Ovis aries: one gene and its partners. The protein of the gene in region 1 interacts with the protein of each later gene in a pairwise test. Links are inferred from orthologs where the notes say so. Each region holds a gene or a part of one and is shown on either strand. Other genes may lie near its edges.

What was found.
Region 2: the proteins of IMMT (region 1) and PFDN1 interact in a two-hybrid assay, tested with the Homo sapiens proteins (2 studies listed by BioGRID and IntAct). The link is inferred for Ovis aries from reciprocal best matches to the Homo sapiens genes IMMT and PFDN1.
Region 3: the proteins of IMMT (region 1) and PDE4DIP interact in a two-hybrid assay, tested with the Homo sapiens proteins (2 studies listed by BioGRID and IntAct, with this or other methods). The link is inferred for Ovis aries from reciprocal best matches to the Homo sapiens genes IMMT and PDE4DIP.
Region 4: the proteins of IMMT (region 1) and TRAF3IP1 interact in a two-hybrid assay, tested with the Homo sapiens proteins (2 studies listed by BioGRID and IntAct). The link is inferred for Ovis aries from reciprocal best matches to the Homo sapiens genes IMMT and TRAF3IP1.
Region 5: the proteins of IMMT (region 1) and MRPL44 interact in a two-hybrid assay, tested with the Homo sapiens proteins (2 studies listed by BioGRID and IntAct). The link is inferred for Ovis aries from reciprocal best matches to the Homo sapiens genes IMMT and MRPL44.

The regions. Positions count from the first base shown.
Region 1 is NC_056056.1:58,091,984-58,096,135, forward strand, and holds the start of IMMT (MICOS complex subunit MIC60), read right to left. Parts: upstream 2,801-4,152; coding exon 2,756-2,800; intron 1-2,755. UniProt on the Homo sapiens protein: Component of the MICOS complex, a large protein complex of the mitochondrial inner membrane that plays crucial roles in the maintenance of crista junctions, inner membrane architecture, and formation of contact sites to the outer membrane.
Region 2 is NC_056058.1:49,170,288-49,174,327, reverse strand, and holds the start of PFDN1 (prefoldin subunit 1), read left to right. Parts: upstream 1-1,230; 5' UTR 1,231-1,246; coding exon 1,247-1,279; intron 1,280-3,839; coding exon 3,840-4,006; intron 4,007-4,040. UniProt on the Homo sapiens protein: Binds specifically to cytosolic chaperonin (c-CPN) and transfers target proteins to it. Binds to nascent polypeptide chain and promotes folding in an environment in which there are many competing pathways for nonnative proteins.
Region 3 is NC_056054.1:97,759,416-97,763,644, forward strand, and holds the start of PDE4DIP (myomegalin), read left to right. Parts: upstream 1-1,427; 5' UTR 1,428-1,821; coding exon 1,822-2,943; intron 2,944-4,229. UniProt on the Homo sapiens protein: Functions as an anchor sequestering components of the cAMP-dependent pathway to Golgi and/or centrosomes.
Region 4 is NC_056054.1:2,994,477-2,998,734, forward strand, and holds the start of TRAF3IP1 (TRAF3-interacting protein 1), read right to left. Parts: upstream 2,807-4,258; 5' UTR 2,688-2,806; coding exon 2,565-2,687; intron 1-2,564.
Region 5 is NC_056055.1:226,107,430-226,111,369, forward strand, and holds the start of MRPL44 (large ribosomal subunit protein mL44), read left to right. Parts: upstream 1-1,133; 5' UTR 1,134-1,151; coding exon 1,152-1,330; intron 1,331-3,198; coding exon 3,199-3,667; intron 3,668-3,940. UniProt on the Homo sapiens protein: Component of the 39S subunit of mitochondrial ribosome. May have a function in the assembly/stability of nascent mitochondrial polypeptides exiting the ribosome.

The DNA of each region.
Region 1 (4,152 bases):
CAAGGAGACCCAACCAGTCCATCTTAAAGGAGATCAGTCCTGGGTGTTCTGATGTTGAAGGACTGATGTTGAAGTTGAAACTCCAATACTTTGGCCACCTGATGCAAAGAGCTGACTCATTGGAAAAGACCCTGATGCTGGGAAAGATTGAAGGCAGGAGAAGGGGACGACAGAGGATGAGATGGTTGGATGGCATCACCGACTCAATGGACAACGGTTTGGGTGGACTCCGGGAATTGGTAATGGACAGGGAGGCCTGGCATGCTGCAGTGGTTCATGGGGTCGCAAAGAGTCAGACACGACTAAGCAACTGAACTGAACTGAACATCCTCTTATGGAAATTAAGAAAAATTCACAGAACACATTAATCTTTCATTCAAACATGTCACACTTGTGACATGTTCATTTACTGAGTATCTATTAGGAGCTAGGGACTATTATGAGTACTGATATAAATACAGTCCCTTTGAGGAGCTTCCATTTGAATGTGGAAAATACATAATTAATACACAGTATGTCAGGAAGTATAAAAGCTAAAAGTAAAACCAAGTAGGGTAAGGGTAGGTTCCAGAGTGATGCAAAGGAGAGAGTGATCAGAGGTGTCTTAGGGAAGGCCTCTCTAAAAGAAAAGTAATATCTAAGAAAATATCTGAATGGAGTGAGCTAAGCAAAGATGTGTGGGAGGACTTCAGGGCAAACAGCAAATGAAAAGGCAATCAGAAGAACAGAATGAGGCAGAGTAAAAAAAAAAAAGATATGCAAAGAGCCAGATCATGAGGAGCCCTGTGGATAGGTAATGAGTTTAGACTTTATTGTGATACGATGGGATGTCACTGGAGGGCATGGCATGGTCCAGTCCATGTGCTTTTTTAAAGGCCTTTGTTAACAACAAGGTAAAGAACTGACCCTAGGGTAGACTGAGGAGACAGTTCAGTGACAATCATGCTGTAACCTTTGGGCAGAATAAGGAAGAGTGGGCCTGAAAGGAGGGCCCCAAAGATACACCTCTACAGTTTTGCCCTGAAAGATTGCTCCGCTTCCTTCATACTCCCAGGCCCACTTGGCTTTTGGTAGCCCAGATTCTAAGATGCCTCCCATGATCTCTGTCCCCAGTGGTTAAGCCCATGATTAGACCTGTACAGGCAAAAGGGATTTTACAGATATAAGGGGGTTTCTAATCAGTTGACCTGATTTATCAAAAGGGATTTATCCAGGTGGGTTTGCCCTAATCACATAAGCCTTTTAAACCTAGGTCTGGAAATCAGAAACAGGGAAGAGATATTAAAGTCTGAGAGACAAGCTCATGGTAGCCTGCAAGAAAGTAAACATCTATGTTATAAACTGCTTCTGAGAATCTTGTGGCAAAGAATTTCAGGCTGCCCCCAGGTAGGTGAGGTGGGAGCTAGCAAGAAAACAGGGACTTCAGCCCTACAGCTGCAGGGACTGAATCCTGCTAACGAACTGAAGGAGCTTAGAAGAGGACCCTGAGCTCAAAAGAGAACCACAGCAGGGACACACTTTGCACCCCTGTATGACAGCAAGCAGATAACGGTAACCATTCACCTCTAGAAACAATAAGGTAATAAATGGGTGCTGTTTGAGGCTGCTCCATCTGTGCTACCTGAAATGTACACACAGCAACAGAAAACTAATACACACTCCACTTTCCTACAGAAGAGCCTGCTTCTCTCACCCTGGAAACGAAAGGGGAGATGGAAGATAAGCAAACTTGGAGGAAATGAAAAAAATTGACTTTTCTAACCCACTGAGGCCAGGGACTTTGCTCAATTGCTCGAGTCACAGAACCTGTTTTGTAAATTCCACATTTTGCCAAAATACAAATTCTCTTTCAATTGTGAGCAATGGAAGTAGGTTTACTATTTTAAATTTCAGTAAATTACTTTGATGTGTGTGCTTAGTCGGTCAGTCCTGTCCGACTCTTTGCGACCCCATGGACTGTAGCCTGCCAGGCTTCTCTGTCCATGACAGTCTGCAGGCAATACTGGGGTGGATTGCCATTTCCTTCTCCAAAATTACTATGATAATTATGCAGAAATAAAGGTAACTACTTGGACGTCTGCCAAAGTTGTCCTAGCACCTAGAGACAGAGATCCTCAGGCTAATCTCAGAAACGTGCACAAGGTCAGGGGCTTAACCTTCCTCGAGTTCTAGAAGCTCGAGCTCTTACTCTGTTTTTGTTCAGAGTAAGAATAGCTCAAGAGGCGTTCTCAGCTACTTAAAGAAAGGCAGTCCTTCCTGGATAATTACAACCTTGACCCCTAAAACGCGGTCTCTAGCAGTCCAGGCACCTCCTTAAGGTGCAACAAGCCAAGAATATGCGCGTCCCTCTGGGAACTGTAGTTTCCCCCCCGTCGACCTTCAACCACTGGATCCGCGAAACCTCTCACGCGCCCAACCGGCGACCCGGGCGCCAGCAGCCTCGATTGGTCCTAGACTGAGGCAGCGAGGGGCTGATTGGATGGCACGTCCCCAAGGCCGTGCCTCCCGTCCTACACCCGCCTCCCCGCCACCTTCTCTTCTCCACGCCCCATCCCGCTTCAGCAATAACCCTCCAGTCATTCCCGTCCACCGAACTCCCGAATTAACTGCCTCACGGGCCCACCCAGGACTCTCGCGATAAGGGCGGTCCGGAGACACGCCTCTGTCCTGGGGCCTAGGCAAAGCCAATGCCTCCCTTATTTTCCGCTGGTCAGTTCACCCACCATGCGCTGTCTCCCGGCGCCCCCGTCCTCACCTGGGCGGTGGATGTCACGCCGGATAACTGACAGGCTCGCAGCATCTCTACTAGGCTGACGCCGCTGCGGGTGTAACTGGGAGCTAGGGCGGCGGCGCGTGTAGGGGACACGGTGCGTCCGTGCGTGCCTGCGTCCGTGCCGCCTCTCCGCGCCGGGCGTACCGGAAGGGCAGCAAACGCCACTGCGCATGCGCAGGCCCGTCTTGCTCCTGTCCCGGCCATTTGAAGAGGGTGGGCCCTTTCCAAGCGGAAAGGGCGATTTCCCCTTCCGGGTCGCGCTGAGACGTCGGCTCTGTTACCCGAAGTATAGATTGTTAGGTAAGCGGGAGGGCTGGCGGTGGATCTGAGACTCAGGCTTTGGTCTGCCCAGGAACCAGGCAGGTGTGACTCGTCGAGAATTCAAGCAAGAAATTATCTCAGCCATTTCTGTCAGCTGAATATTTCGTAGAAAGAAAGGGATTTGCCGAAAGTTACGTAAACAATGGTGTGGTCTCTGCGCGTTCCTTTTGTTTCGCAGCCCTTCAGGGAGTCATCCTGCTTAAGGGAGATTCAGTTCAGTTCAGCTCAGCCTGTCAGTCGTGTCAAGCTCTTTGCAACTCCATGGACTGCAACACTCCAGGCTTCCATGTCCTTCACCGACTCAGGGAGCTTGCTCAAACTCATGTCCATTGAGTCGGTGATGTCATCCAACCATCTCATCCTCTCTCGTCCCCTTCTCCTACCCTCAATCTTTCGCAGCATCAGGGTATTTTCCAGTGACTCAGCTCTTCGCATCAAGTGGCCAAAGTATTGGAGTTTCAGCTTCAACATCAGTCCTTCCATTGAACACCTGGGACTGATCTTCTTTGGGATGGACTGGCTGTATCTCCTTGCAGTCCAAGGGACTCTGAAGAGTCTTCTCCAACGCCACAGTTCAAAAGCATCAGTTCTTCAGCGCTCAGCTTTCTTTATAGTCCAACTCTCACATCCATACCTGACCACAGGAAAAACCATAGCCTTGACTAGACGACCTTCGATGAAAAAGTAATGTTTGCTTTTTAATATGCTGTCTAGGTTGGTCATACTTTCCTTCCAAGGAGTAAGCCTCTTTTAATTTCATGGCTGCAGTCACCATCTGCAGTGATTTTGGAGCCCCCAAAAATAAAGTCAGCCACTGTTTCCCCATCTATTTGCCATGAAGTGATGGGACCAGATGCCATAATCTTAGTTTTCTGAATGTTGCACTTTAAGCCAACTTTTTCACTCTCCTCTTTCACTTTATCAAGAGGCTCTTTAGTTCTTCGCTTTCTGCCATAAGGGTGGTGTCATCTGCATATCTGAGGTTATTGACATTTCTCCCAGCAATCTTGATTCTGGCTTGTGTTTCTTCCAGCCCAGCGTTTCTCGTGATGTACTCT
Region 2 (4,040 bases), on another chromosome or scaffold:
CTTGCTGTATCTTGAAAGACAAATATAACAATGCTAACTACATGAACTTAATTATACCTTTTTATTGTGTGCCTACTGTGTGCATTGTGCTATGCTTGGAGCTTTCCATCCTGATCTTGTTTACTCCTCAGAATAACTCTGTTAGGTCAGTACTGTTATTCTCATATTAAATGAGGAGACAGACTCTGTTGATACACAACTAGTAAATGGAAGCAGACATACCTACGCTCAGTGTAGACCAAACCTTGAATACAGATTTGTTTAGTTCCAAACTCCCTGCCCTTTCCCCTGCCTCACAGGTTTTTAGAGTAAGGAAGATATCCATTTCTTTCATGTCCATCCTTCTAGTCATCCTTCTGGTTCAAATGCCAGCTATTTTACAGCAGATTTTCAAAATGTGGTTTGCAGTCCACTTAGATCAGATCATAAAAGGAGTTTGCAAAAGTATGTATTTCTGTGCCCCATATCAAAGATTCTAAGTAAGTTTGGGATGAGGATCAGAGAATCTGCATTTTTTTTTTCTTTTAAAAAGAAATTTGGTTTCTCGTGAGAACTCCTGTGTCTACAAGGTCTTCTGAGAACATTCAGTATAAATAAGTTCTTTGGGAAAACGCTTCAACTAAGCCTTCTGGACACGGCTGAGCGACTGAACTGAACTGAAGCCTTCTGGTCTTCTCCATGCTGCCATGTCTGAAACTCAGGCTGATTCTTTCTCATCCCTCCCTGACAGCACAGGACTCGCTGAAGGCATGAATGACTTTAAAGGTTTTAGCTTGATCTACATACATCTTAATTTAGCGACACAAACTAAACTATTTGTCGAAGTGGTTAAAACCACACACGAGGGGACGGAGGCGGGAGGGGGGTTCAGGATGGGGAACACGTGTACACCCGTGGCGGATTCATGTTGATGTATGGCAAAACCAATACAATATTGTAATTAGTCTCCAATTAAAATAAATAAATTTATATTAAAAAAACACACACACGAAATCTGCAGATTGTGCCGTGTTTGGAAGGATGTGGAGAATCACGGCAGGCCCATAGGTCACGTGGGGAAGACGTACTCTGAATCGGAATCCCGGTTATTTCAGGCGTTAATAACGACGGGGAAGGTAGGAAAACCAAGCAGCCCCACTCATGCGCAGGCGCAGAAGGAAGAGGCCCTATCAAATCTTCAGGGCGCGCCCTTCCCCCACGCTCTTTCCGGGCTTCTCCCACTGCGCAGGCGCAGTAGTGAAGCAAGATGGCGGCCCCCGTGGATCTGGAGTTGAAGAAGGTAAAAGAGGGTCTTGAGCAGGCAGAAGCTTTTCTTTGGAAGCTAAGGCGACTGTGGACAATAATGTCGAGTGAGTCTCGAGTGCTGCGGAAGGAAAGAGGCCCCAGGGAAATGGGGAGTGGTTTCTCAGAGTGCAAAGGCGGGACCGGGCCTCCTTAGGCGGGAGTCGAGGGCGAGCGGCTCTTTGCCGGGTAAGAGCCGGTTGGGCTGGGCCTGGTTAAGTTTGGCGGGCCTATAGCTGTTTTGTTCCCTTGTTCCGAGCTCCAGAGACCTTTCGTTGCTCTTGGTGCCTTCAGTTCCATAGTGAGGCCTGAAATGAGCGCTTCCAGTTGGAGCCTCTTAGCCTGCTTGCCCGAGCTGTAGCATCTGTAATTCTGTATACTAATTTGCTTTGAAAAACTCCAAGTCCAGTCTGTTTTTAGGTCAGTTCTTTAATCCCATATCTTGTAAGGTCGCTTCATACAGTTCAGTCAGGTATCCTCGTAGCAATGTTCATCTTAGGGCTTTGCCAACAACCGCCCCCTCCCCACCCTCGTTTTTAAAGATTTGTCAAAGAAGAAACAAGTCAAAGGTTTCCAGATCAAATTGGTATCAGAAGGAATTGAGTTTCTCTCTTCAAACAATTGCCTAGAAATGTGTTGTTACACAGAAATGTTTTCACCACCTGAGAGTTGTCAGGATTCTAACACCACTACCGACTCAAAAGCGTATCCTTTTTTTTTTTTTTTTTTTTGCGAAGAGAAGGAGAATGGGGATTGGAAAGGAGCCTAGACTTCATCTACTTTAAACTGATACTTTTCTAGAAAAGGAAACAGTTTAACAGAAGAGTCAGCCCAAGCTTGGTTCTAGAATATTGCATTCTCTGCCTCACTTTCCACCTTTTGACCACTACTTGAGGTTAGAAGAGCAAATTTTGTTTAAGACTGTCTTGTAATCTATCTTTGCATGAGAAATAAGACAGTTGAAGTAGCTCTTCCACGTAATAGATGAAGCAGTGTATTATTGCTCTGAGGATTTGTGTGTGTGTATTGCCTTTTGTTTGGAACTTGTACCTTTACTCCTTATGGTGCTGTCTAGTGCTGTATTATCTCAGCTTTAACAAAATACTAGCTTCCTTACCAAACTGTGTCTTAAAGTGTTTTAAAAGTTTACCTTTTTTTTCCGTTAAAAGTTCAAATTTAAGTTAGGGTTTAGTGAGAGCTAACAATAGAATACAGCTATGAATGGACTTACCCCTCAGTATTATTTCAGTCTGTTGCTGGGAAACCTGTGGACAGTGAATGCAAACTAAGAAGATAATTACAGACTTAAATTGGGTAGTTTTGTCAACCAATAAAATTACAGAAGAAACTTGTTTAAAGGTCTTTTAATGTTTATAATTTTGGGGGGAGGGGAAGGGATGGAGACTAATAGGAAACTTTAGGTACCTCCTCTCCCCTCTAGATAAACCTTTTGAAACCTTACTAGTAGGTGAGAACAAAGTCAGAATAAAAGTTAGTAGCTTTTTGCCATGTATTGCAGCCACAGATGTTATTATTAAGTCAGAATTTGACAGCATGTGAAAATCATTCTAGGCACTTCAGAAGTATCAAAAACCTTTTAACAGTACTCAGAGGTCAAGTTTGGCTTATCGTGTGCATATGAAGATCATGATGCAATTCTTTTATCAATGCTTTGAATTTTTTTGTGTGTCTTTCTCTTAAAATATTCATTTTCTGAATATTACTGTGGATAGTAGAGTAGAAAGATTCAGTAACTAGCGGTCAGAAGTTAATTAAGTACTTGGTTTTTGACCTAGTAGTTGCTCAGCCCTGTGAAAGTCATTTATATCTCTTTAAAACATTTAGTTAATTTGTAAACTGTGCTGATGAATCTGCCATCCTTAACTCAGGATTATTGAAAAGAGAAAATGAGACATTTATTATATGTCAGTATTCTCATATTAATATTCACATGTTAATATTTCAAACAAGTGTGGGAAAGTGCTTTAAATAATCTTGAGTAGTACAGATGTGGTGAGTTGTTACATTAATGGTTCCTGATTTGGGTCTCTGGGTTTGTGATTGTTGCCTTTAGAGCTTTTATTAATCCTTGGGTACCTGCTACTTGATATGGTTGTTATTTACCGTGCCTTTGTTCAGCTTCTTCAGATAGGTTGCATCTTCTGAGGACTGGGTAAGTTCAGTACAGTTGACTCTTGAACAGCATTGGTTTAAACGTCAGGGATCCAGTTGTACACAGATTTTTAAAATAGTAAATACTAGAGTACTACATGATATGTAGTTGGTTGAATCAACAAATGTAGAACCAGGGATACAAAGGAACTGCTATATGGAGAGTCAACTATAAATTATACTTGGATTTTCAACTGCACAGAGGGTCAGTGCTTCTAATCACTGAATTGTTCAGGGCTCAAGTTTTTAGCAGACTGGCTTTGAGATGTTTGCTGTGGTAAATTTCACGGCTTTGTCTGTTTAACAGGCTTCATTTTAATAGATTTGATATAGACATTTACTGTAAAATGTTGCACCTACTAAATCAAGGACTTATTTCTTTTTAGGCCTTCACAGAGCTTCAAGCCAAAGTTATTGACACTCAACAGAAGGTGAAGCTTGCAGATGTACAGATTGAACAGCTGAACAGAACGAAAAAGCATGCACATCTTACAGATACAGAGATTATGACTTTGGTAGATGAGACTAACATGTATGAAGGTGTAGGAAGAATGTAAGTAAAGTATATCCTTAAGGGGGTTATCCTG
Region 3 (4,229 bases), on another chromosome or scaffold:
TTCATGGCTGCAGTCACCATCTGCAGTGATATTGGAGCCCCCCAAAATAAAGTCTGACACTGTTTCCCCATCTATTTCCCATGAAGTGATGGGACCGGATGGGACTGGATTTTCTGAATGTTGAGCTTTAAGCCAACTTTTTCGCTCTCCTCTTTCACTTTCATCAAGAGGCTTTTTAGCTCCTCTTCACTTTCTGCCATAAGGGTGGTGTCATCTGCATATCTCACAAGGTCAAGTTAGTGAAATCTGGCATTACTGTAACTGGGAAATGTCCTGCTCTGGGAAAACTCCAGATGATTGCCTGGGACTGTTTTTCCTCCTATTTGGAGTTTGCCAGGGAGAAAATTATAAATGAAGGATGACACCTCAGTTCCACCTAGAGAGAGCCCCAGCTTCCCTCTACTCTTTGTGTGCAATTCAAGGTCTATACCCAAGGGTAGGGTGACTTACTACTGGATAATGTTGAGTAAGACAGGATACTAACTGAAGTCAGTTAAATTCCCAGCCCCACTTCTGCAGAGAGCAGCACTCCCTGATACTTTGGAGTCTTGCTCAAATAAACAAGGTCTTTTGTTCTAGAGTTTGTCTCCCCTTCCCTCCCCGAAAATAAGGCCTGCAGCCTTATTTTAAGTGAAACTTGAAAGAGGGTTTGCTGGCGGCAGTCTACTCTCAGGTGTCTACATTCTTGAAAAAGCTCATTTTGTCCGGCATCTTCAAACTCTTGGTAAACCATTCGTGTGGTTTTTGTTGGACTCTTTCTCAGGTGACTGCTTTGTGCCGCCTCTCAATTTACGCTCTAAAAAAAAAGGCAAATCATCCTGGTAAACTCAACCCCAGCATGGTGAGGGAAGAAACACTTGTCCTCTTTTCTGAGTACTCCCAACAGTCCAGAGGGAGGTTGAACTGAGCCTCCTAAAATTCCCGCCTCCCCGGCCGCGGGTGAAGCCCTAGGGCCTTTTACTCCAGGAACAGGAGTGAGAAGGGAGAGGAGGTGGGGCCGGAGAGAGGCAGCGCGCAGCGGTACCCAGTGGTGCTGCGAGACTGCTCCCTCCAGAGTACGTGGCAGTCCCCGTGGACAGAAGGGGAGGGGATTCGGCTTTCTCCTCCCCGTGCAGAGCCTCGGACAGTCCTCCCGGGCGGGAGGGAGGAACCGCAAGGGGACTGGTGCGCTTTTGGAGTGAAATTTTAGCAGATAAAAGTGGCCTGGCAGCGGTCGGCCTCCGTCCCGCTCTTCCACCTGGGTAACCACAGCAGGTCGAGCCTGCGCTGTACCGCGAGGAGCATTGACTTGTTCGGGAGCGAGGTGACGCGCTGGCCACCCCGCATGCGCAGAGCGAGGAGCCGGCCTCCTGGACTACAGCTCCCAGAGGAGTTTGCCGGCGGCTGCAGGCGTCGAGCCGCCGGCGCCATCTTGAAATCTGATCCTCAATCTCTGAGTCTTTGCGTCAGCCGCGGGCGGCAGCCGGAGGACCGCGAACTCAGCCCGCTGAAAAGGGAGGACATTGAGGACACAGCGGCTGGCGGGAGAGACAGCTGGAGGAGACATGGCAGGTTCTGAGCGCGGCCTGCGCTGCTGTCACTCAGCATCCTCCTGAGGCATTTCCTCGCCCGCCGCCTCCCCGAGGGGCGGGGCTGATCACTCTGGTACCCAGAACCCGCGCGCGGGTGTCAGCGGAGCGCCCCTGCAGAGTGGGCACCCCACCAAGCTGTGCCATGCCAGCCGGAGGCCACCGAGGCGGGAGACGGAACGCAACCAAGCGCCAGTGAGCGATCACCGAGCAGCAGCCGCCTCCGGGAAGCTCGGCCACCGCAGGAGGGAAGATGAAGGAGATTTGCAGGATCTGTGCCCGGGAGCTGTGCGGAAACCAGCGGCGCTGGATCTTCCACACGGCGTCCAAGCTCAACCTCCAGGTTCTGTTGTCGCACGTCCTGGGCAAGGATGTCTCCCGCGATGGCAAAGCTGAGTTTGCTTGCAGCAAGTGCGCGTTCATGCTCGATCGGATCTATAGATTCGACACCGTCATTGCCCGGATCGAAGCCCTTTCTATTGAGCGCTTGCAGAAGCTGCTGCTGGAGAAGGACCGCCTCAAGTTCTGCATTGCTAGCATGTATCGGAAGAATAACGATGACCCTGGCTCAGAGACCAAGGCGGGGAATGGAACGGTTGACATTTCCAGCTTACCCGATGTCAGATACTCTGCACTGCTCCAGGAAGACTTTGCCTATTCAGGGTTCGAGTGTTGGGTAGAAAATGAGGATCAGATTCAGGAGCACAGCTGTCATGCTTCGGAAGGCCCCGGAAATCGACCCAGGAGGTGCCGAGGCTGTGCAGCTTTGCGGGTGGCTGATTCTGACTACGAAGCCATTTGTAAGGTACCTCGAAAGGTGGCGAAAAGTATTTCTTGTGGCCCCTCTACCAGATGGTCCACCAGCATTTGCACTGAAGAACCAGCGTTGTCCGAGGTTGGGCCACCAGATTTACCAAATGCGAAGGTACCTCCAGATGGAGAAAGCATGGAGGAAGGGACCCCGGGATCCTCTGTGGAATCTTTGGATGCAAGTATCCAGGCTAGTCCTCCACAACCAAAGGATGAGGAACCTGAGAGAAGTGCAAAGGAACTTGTAAAGTGTGACTGCTGTTCAGATGAACAGGCTCCCCAGCATACGTGTAACCATAAGCTGGAGCTAGCTCTTAGCATGATTAAAGGTCTTGATTATAAGCCCATCCAGAGCCCCCGAGGGAGCAAGCTTCCTATTCCAGTGAAATCCAATCCATCTGGAACCAGGCCTGGCCATATCATGACAGATGGAGTTAGTTCTGGTTTCCTTAACAGGTCTTTGAAACCCCTTTACAGGACACCTGTGAGTTATCCCTTGGAGATTTCAGACCTGCAGGAGCTGTGGGATGATCTCTGTGAAGATTATCTGCCACTTCGGGTCCAGGTATACAAAATGGCTGCATATTGCCTTTCTGATTAAAGTTAGCTGGCTTCAGGCTTCACATGATTTCTATCTAGGGGAAGGTTAATAGTCTAGACTTGGTAACCCATTTTTGCTTTACCTTTTGCTTCTGTCCATTTTAATAAATGTGATTCACACAAGTAATTTGCTTTCCACAATAGCCTCTTTATAAGATTATCTGTTGGCTTTCCCACTAATTATCAAAATTGTACATGTTTAAGACAAAGATTCATAATTCATTTTTACCCTAAAAAAATTTTAATCTTATTTCTGGCACTGGAACTCTTTCCTCTCACTTGTCCTACCGCCTCTCTACTTTTGTCTGTTTTGTTTTCACTTTTAGATTTATGAATATTTTCTTCTCTGAGGGAGGGAGTTCTCAAGTTAGTCCGCCCTAGAGCATTAAGCCATTCATCCCCACCTGTGCCTTGAACTGATTAGAGCATAGGGTAAAGGTTTGAGGAGAACCTATTAATCCACCAAAATATTGTAATATGTGGACAACATTTATAAATTAAGAGGTCATTTGAGGACTAATGATGACTTTTTCATAAAAGAGACTTGGGAATTCAGAATTTAAAATGTTAAGGCAAAACGTGTCTACAGCCAGTTTGTATAATGAGCTCTATGTGAAGATGTTTGGTGTTGAGCAGGACTTCATCCATTATTGGGTGATAGAGTTTTACCTGTTTTACTCGTGAATTTCGTAATGACTGGAAGATGGCAGTTGATCTTACTTTGAGCTGTTCATACCAATCTTTTAAATTCAGTTGTGTACAGGGGCCTGACAGATGCTGTCTTGTTTATACAGCAGCAGTAGTTTCAGTTAATGTTGTGAAACATCTGGCATGTTCTACTTGATATAGATTCTTTAGTGATACCGTTACAGAGGTGGACAATCTAGAAGGTGTTTCTGGAAAGCTTGCTAACCAGTCAACATCATCCCAGAATCTTAGAGCTTCTAAATGAAATTGTTGATTGTCACTTGACAGCTTTGAAAAACAGTTCTATTATGTATAAAATTTGCATCACAGTAAGAATATGGGAGAAATATTTTTGAATTTGCACTAACTTGTCAGAAACAGCATTGTTAGGGAAAAGTATGAGTATCCAAAAGTTTAAACTGTGTTTTCATTTCTATAAAATGTTTAGGATGCCCAACACTTGTGTACTTTCCTTTCGCTCCCTTTTCTTTCATTGACCTTCACAGCTAAATTTGAGCTTTCCAGTACAGTATTTCTGTGAGCCAACATAGATGTCACAGATTC
Region 4 (4,258 bases), on another chromosome or scaffold:
CTTCTTCATTTTGCTCCTTTTGAGGTTTTTCTAGTGTGTCGACAGTGTGAGCAATCATTTCCAGCAACAAGAGGCATTAATTTCACAGGATCAACGCTTCAAGTTATGAAAGATACGGAGTTAGCTTAGCAGTAACTAAAACTCTAGAATATGGCGATTTGAACACAATACTCAGGGGTAGTAAAGAATTTTGCTCAGAGAATTGCCATGTATTATTTGAAAACGCTTTCCATATGTCAGTTGTTCTAACATCTTTATCAAATAAGTGACAATTAACATACTTATCTTTATACAGGTAGAGAGATTACTTTTGACCTTCAGTTCAGTTCAGTCGCTCAGTCCTGTCCGACTCTTTGCGACCCCATGAACCACAGCACGCCAGGCCTCCCTGTCCATCACCAACTCCCGGAGTTCACTCAAACTCACATCCATCGAGTCGGTGATGCCATCCAGCCATCTCATCCACTGTCATCCCCTTCTCCTCCTGCCCCCAATCCCTCCCAGCAGAGTCTTTTCCAATGAGTCAACTCTTCGCATGAGGTGGCCAAAGTACTGGAGTTTCAGCTCTAGCAAAGAACACCAAAGAACACCTAGGACTGATCTCCTTTAGAATGGACTGGTTGGATCTCCTTGCAGTCCAAGGGACTCTAAAGAGTCTTCTCCAACACCACAGTTCAAAAGCATCAATTCTTCGGTGCTCAGCTTTCTTTACAGTCCAACTTTTGACCTTAGATTAGCAAAAAGGCAGACCAGTGCATCCCAATGGGGAACACGGAACTCCTTCCCCACAGTCTGGCTACCTGGCAATGGAGTGGATTCCTGCCTGAACTCTCCTCCCCCCTCCAACCTTGCCGGAGGTGGGGACAGCAGCCACCATGATAAGCCCACACCAGGACCCACAGAAAGATGCAGGCCGCCCCCCCTTCCCCCCCCAGCCTCTTTCCTGGCTTTCTGGTTTCAGTGAGAAAACAGGACAAACACAGAAAATCAAAGTGTCTGGCTGGGGCAGCAACAGGTGCAGTCAGCCACGTACCTCCTGGCTAAGTGACTGGATCCCTCCTGGGTCAGAGGACACCACCCGCCCATTTCACAGGAAGAGGTGATGACACTCAAGGCCTGGCTCTCCGTAGAGGCTCCTTACACAGCCCTGTCCCACCAGGCTCTCCACACAGCCTCGTCCCTTCCCCAGACACTGTCCAGGGCGGTCTAGGTGCTGCACTAGCTTAGGAGAACAAGGAGGCCAGTCAAGACAGCCCTGGGGATGTGGGTCAGTTTTGAGAGGTTTAAGCACAGCTTATAAGCACAGAGAGGTCCACATCATAAGCTAAGTCAAGAGAGCAAAGACAAGAAAGGCACAGTTTGTGGAAGAGTAAGATGCCAAACCTGTTGGAAGGATTGAGAAGTGAAGTTTAAGGACCAACATGAGCAAGAATAGGAGGCCGGGACACCTGCAAATTGAACCTGATTCCTGAAGCCCAGAGAGCATGCCTGGGTTCCCAAGGGCAACACCACACTAGGGCGCACCATGGAAATGGGCGCTGACACTGGAGTCACGGAGCCGTGACTGACTCCATTCAGCAGTGAGTGTTTGCTGTGCACTTTCTGTGTACCGTGCCCGGGATGTGCCAACAAACAAGTCTCCATCACTCAGGAACCCGCCAGCCAGTGGGCAAGAGGGTGAGACAACTAATATCAAGGCATGCTCCGCCATCGATCAGCAAATACAGCCCTGCTTTTTATAGTTATTATCCTTCCAGGTCCCCCAACAACCACCTTCAATAAGTCCACCCAAAGGTATTGATTAAACATCTAATATGGGCAAGAGCCGACTCACTGGAAAAGGCTCTGATGCTGGGAAAGACTGAAGGTGGGAGGAGAAGGGGACAACAGAGGGTAAGATGGTTGGACGGCATCACCGACTCAATGGACACGAGTTTGAGCAAGCTCCGGCAGGTGGTGAAGGACAGGGAGGCCTGGCATGCTGCATGGAGTCCATGGGGTTGGGAAGAGTCGGACAGGACTTAGCGACGGAACAACAATGGGGTGATCACAGCAGGAGCAGGTGGTGGGAAACTCGGGTGGGGCACTAACGAGAAAATAATGTCCTTCTCCTGGGATTTGTAAACACTCTCCATCTGCCAGACGCTGCAAGGGAAAAAAAGTCTCAGAAACAGCCCTGCCAGGCTGAGTGGAAGATCTGCTCTAAGAAGACTGGGGCAGGACGGAAAACATAAGAATGCTCCCCAAGAGCCGGGACACTCCCGGGAAAGGTGGCCCAGGGGTCATCCGTCCCGCCGAGGCCGGGCTCCTCGGGCAGGGGCAGCGCTCCGAGACGCGAGGTCCGATCCCGACGCCAGCTTTGGTCCGAACCCCCCAACCCCCGTCCTCCGACTCCCACCCCAACACCGACCGCCGATCTGCATCCCGGTCTCCGGCCCGCACCCCGACATCCCACATGGGCCCCGACCCCCGGACCTGCACCCTAGCCCGCACCCCGGGCCGCACCCGGTCCGCGCACGGGGACCCGGCCCAGACCGCAGTTCCGATCCCGGCCCGGCGCTCACCTCCGTGATGATGTCGTGCAGGTAGCGGAACGGGGGCTTGTTCAGCAGCTTCTCGGTCAGCGGCGGCCTCCGGATCACCTTGCCCAGAGCCTCCTGCGTCCGCTTCACCACCGCCGCGTTCATGGCCGCGCCCCGCCGGCCACAGAGCCTAAGCCCGGCTCCCGGGCCGCCGCCGGCCCCGCCGCCGCCTCGGCTGCCCGCTCCGGCCTCGACGCGCCGCTCGGGTTCCCATCCCACAGTGCACCGGAGTCCGCCCAGGCGCGTGCGCCGGGCCGCGGCCCTCGGTCGCCAGGGGTGGCGCGGCCTTAGCAACGGACGCGCCGCGGGGCCCCGCCCCCTGCCCGGCTGCGCGCGCACGCGACGACGCCGGCGTGGGTGGGGCTGCGTGCCCGCGGAGGGACAGCGCCCAGGCCCCGCCCCTCTAAGCCGCCGCTCGAGGGAGGTGCTTCTCCACTCGCCACTGAGGAGACCGCCCGAGGACTGGCCGGCGGCCGCAGCGCTTCCAGGATTTCCGGTGCCTTTTTCTCAGGTTTAAGGCGAACTGGACTGAGTGCCCTCGAAATACGCATGCCCTTTCCTGTTTGCTACTTAATACGGCTTCCTGAGCGAGTATTAATGTCTCTGCTTGCCAACAAAGATCCGTCGACTCAAAGCTATGGGTTTTCCAGTATTCATGTATGGCTGTGAGAGTTGGACTCTAAAGAAAGCTGAGTGCGGAAGAATCGATGCGTGTGAACTGTGGTGTTGGAGAAGACTCTTAAGAGTCCCATGAACTGCAAGGAGATCAAACCAGTCCATTCTGAAGGAAATCAGTCCTGAATATTCATTGGAAGGACTGATTCTGAAGCTGAAACTCCAATATTTTGGCCACCTGATATGAAGAACTGGCCCATTTGAAAAGATCCTGATGCTGGGAAAGATTGAAGGCAGGAGGAGAAGGGGATGACAGGGTGAGATGGTTGGATGGCATCACTGACTCAATGGACATGAGTTTGAGTAAGGTCTGGGAGTTGGTGATGCACAGGGAGGCTTGGCGTGCTGCAGTCCATGGGGTCGCAAAGAGTTGGACACAACTGAGCGACTGTAATGAACTGAGTGAGTAACTCCTTTTCTCTGAGTCTCTGTTTCTATAAAGCAGGAGAATCTGTGCCAGCCTACCTAACTCCCAGGGAGGTGATGACCACCAAATGATGTGCCAGGGCTCTGTAACCAGCACAAAGCCACACCCTTGTTCTACTGGGTGTTTATGGTTGTGTCCCATCTGTCTTTCATCCACCACGCACAGGCTCACAGTAGATCCTTTCCACGCTTTGCGGTCTCTTTTTACTTCTTCTCATGGATGCCTTTGGGCTTCCCTGGTGGCTCAGATGGTAAAGAACGCCTGCAATGCGGGAGACCTGGGTTCGATCCCTGGGTTTGGAAGATCCCTCAAAGAGGACATGGCAACCCACTACAGTATTCTAGCCTGGAGCATCCACATGGACAGGGAAGCCTGGCAGGCTGCAGTCCATGAGGTCGCAAAGAGTCCCACACGACTGAGTGATTAAGCATGATGAATACCTTTATAGTTTTTATTTACACTCATTTTTGCCATTTTCAAAGTGCTCCATGCTTTATGTGTTCTTTGCTTATGATGTGGAGTTTTTAACTTAAATTTTATATCTGATTATTATTGACATTCAATAAAATTCACT
Region 5 (3,940 bases), on another chromosome or scaffold:
CAACGGTCTGGTTCCAAATTGGGAAAGGAGTACGTCAAGTCTGGATATTGTCACCCTGCTTATTTAACTTCCATGGAGAGTACATCATTTGAAATGCCAAGCTGGATGAAGCACAAGCTAGAATCAAGATTGCAGGAAGAAATATCAATAACCTCAGATACGCAGATGACACCACCCTAATGCCAGGAAGCGAAGAGGAACTAAAGAGCCTCTTGATGAAACTGAAAGAGGAGAGCAAAAAAACCACTCAAAACTCAACATTCCAGCTCGCGTCAGCACATATGCTAAAACTGGAACGATACAGAGGTTAGCACGGCCCCTGCACAAGGATGATACGAAAATTCGTGAAGCATTCCATATTAAAAACAAAAACAAAAACCCTCAACATTAAAATAACAGATCATGGCATCCTGTCCCATCACTTCATGGCAAACAGATGGGGAAAAAATGAAAACAGTGGCAGATTTTCTTTTTCTTGGGCTCCAAAATCACCGTGACTATACAATAGTGACTACACCCATTAAATGAAAAGACGCTTGCTCCTTGGAAGAAAAGCTATGACCAACTAGACAACATATTAAAAAGCAGAGACGTTAATTTGCCGACAAAGGTCCTTCTAGTCAAAGCTATAGTTTTTTCAGTAGTCATGTATGGATGTGAGAGTTGGACCAGAAAGAAGACTGAACGTTGAAGAATTGATGCTTTTGAACTGTGGTGTTGGTAGAGTCTTGAGAGTCCCTTGGACAGCAAGGAGATTCAACTAGTCAATCCTGCAAAAAAATCAACCCTGAATATTCACTGTAACTACTGATGCTGAAACTGAAGCTCCAATACTTTGGCCACCTGATGCAAAGAACTGACTCACTGGAAAAGACCCTGATGCTGGGAAAGATTGAAGGCAGGAAAAGAGGACGACAGAGGATGAGATGGTTGGATGGCAAAGAGCCAGACACAACTGAGCCACTGGACTTAACTGAGGGAAAAAACAAAACAAAAACCAACGTTTGCGCATGCCCACTAAAACACCCCTACTGGCCCCCACCCACCGGGTGCTGGCTCAGCCCCGCCTCTCCCGGTTTCCGGGGGAACTGTGTTACTGCGACACTGCTCCGGCTCTCCTTTTTCCGCCCTCCATTGCTTTCTCCGGTGCAATGGCATCCGGCCTGACAAAGCTGCTGCTGCGAGGTCCCCATTGCCTCCTGGCCACGGCCGGCCCCACTCTCGCTCCGCCGGTTCGGGGAGTGAAGAAGGGATTCCGCGCCGCTTTCCGGTTCCAGAAGGAGTTAGAGCGGTGGCGCCTGCTCCGGTGCCCGCCGCCGCCGGTGCGCCGGTAGGAGCCACCGGGGGAAGAGGTTAGGGGTGGCTGTCCTGGAGCCGGGGCGTGCTCCCCGCGGCTTCGGCCGGGGGGGCGGGTAGGGATGCTCATCGTTCGTTTGCTCCTGGCTTGACCCTAGTTGTGCGATAGAGACTCCCACGGGTCGTGGACGCGTGGCGGAGGCAAAGGGCATGCATTTCTGCTGGGCGCATGGTTGCCCCCGACGCTCTTGGAACTCCCATTTGGAATCCTGTAGGAGAAGGCAATGGCACCCCACTCCAGTACTCTTGCCTGGAAAATCCCATGGACGGAGGAGCCTGGTAGGCTGCAGTCCACGGGGTCGCTAAGAGTCGGACACGACTAAGCGACTTCACTTTGACTTTTCACTTTCATGCATTGGAGAAGGAAATGGCAACCCACTCCAGCATTTTTGCCTAGAGAATCCCAGGGATGGGGGAGCCCGGTGGGCTGCTGTCAGAGGGGTTGCACAGAGTCGGACACGACTGAAGCGACTTAGCAGCAGCAGCAGCAGACTGAGACTTGTGAGAAATAAGGCCAGCTGGAGGGTAACCTATACCGGGCTTGCGTGTTTTAGCCCCTGCTTTGTATTGCTGCCTCAGAATTCCTTGGGTACGGACAAGAGGGAGGAAAGCACAAAACGGTATTGCGATATAGGGCAAGGAAAAAAGTACACAATGACAAGTCCACTGTTCAGAGGAAAGGGAAAACAGCTTGGCTTTAGGTTTTTGCCATAATTAATCTTGTTCTGCTAGAGGAAAGTCTGGTAGGAAGACCCTCAGATCTTCATATAACTCCAGAAAAGATCCCCTTACACATGAGGTTTTGCTTTTTTTTTTTAAATAATGTTTCTTTGACCTGTGTCGTGGTGGTACAAATAGATGCACCTCACTCTTTGATGGCTCCGTTTGACGGGTGTTTGAGTTACTGTTGCTACTACAACCGATGTAACACCGAATAGCTTTGAAGTTATTGCTCCTTTGGAAATTTAGTATGAAAATTGATAGCTATTTTAATATTGCCCTTCCCCCCAAAAAGCCGATGTATTTTATACACTTGGTAGGAATATATATGTTCATAGTTCTATATTTTTTCAACACAGAATATTGTTTTTTCCTAAAAACAATAGTAAAATAGTGTTCCTTCTTAATCTACATTTGGTTATAGTGAGGTTAGTCATTTTAGGCTTTTATAGTTGTTAGAAACTTTATATATTATATAGATTATATATATCTTAATGACTTACAACCCAGATCTTTATGCTTTGCAGCCCTTTTTTACTTGAGGGTTTTATTTTTGGTTTATTGTCTTTAGTTTTTAAAAGACCTTTTAGTCGTTCTTGAGAATGGTTGTGAAGTTTTAACCTACTTACAATATTGTATTTTATTGTTTTAAGATTTGGAAGCATTCATTGAAAATTAGCAATAAAATCTAGTATCAATTGCAAATTTTCAATGAATGCTTCCAAATCTTAATAAAATACAATATAAATATAACATACTTAGTGTTTATGACTTGAACATATGAAATTATAATTTCTATTTCATGTGTGAGTATAAAGCATAGTTCCATGGTTATAACAGTAGAACCTAAAAGTGAGGATAAGGTCTTAGTCTCTGTTGATGAACTGCTTTGATGTGGCAGTTGACTCAGAGGGACAGTTAATCCAGCAAAGGACCACAAGTAATCATCTGACGTAAGTTTTAATTTTTAGAAAATCAGATTCTGGAATTAAAATGAAGCTCAGTCTTTTAAAATTTTCTTTATATAATTAAATAAAATTGCATCACAATGAGAAATGTTTGCATCACAGCACATCTTGTTCTCTTTATTACCTCTTACTGTCTTGTGTTTTACATTTTCAGTTCGGAGAAGCCCAATTGGGATTACCATGCTGAAATACAAGCATTTGGCCCTCGGTTACAGGAAACTTTTTCATTAGATCTTCTCAAAACTGCGTTTGTTAATAGCTGCTATATTAAAAGCGAGGAGGCCAAACGCCAAAAACTTGGAATAGAGAAGGAAGCTGTTCTTCTGAACCTCAAAGATAATCAAGAACTATCTGAACAAGGGACATCTTTTTCACAGACATGCCTCACGCAATTTTTTGCGGACGCTTTCCCAGACTTGCCCACTGAAGGCGTTAAAAGTCTGGTTGACTATCTCACCGGTGAGGAAGTTGTGTGTCACGTGGCTAGAAACTTGGCAGTGGAGCAGTTGACGCTGAGTGCGGACTTCCCTGTCCCCCCAGCTGTGTTACGGCAGACTTTCTTTGCAGTGATTGGAGCCCTGCTACGGAGCAGTGGACCCGAGAGGACTGCACTCTTCATCAGGGTAGGTGATTGTTAGCTGCACGTGCTGGAACATGCTTGAGGTAGAAAGAAAAACTTCTTTTTGTACTTTACTTCTTTGCGCTATGACCTTGGCAGGTTACATGTGAATTTTTCTCCTGATCCAAACTGAGAAAGACCTAAAGCTTTTTATCAGTTCAGTTCAGTCACTCTGTTGTGTCCGACTCTTTGCGACTCCATGGACTGCAGCATGCCAGGCCTCCCTATCCATCACCAACTCCTGGAGTTTACTCATACTCATGTCCATTGAGATGGT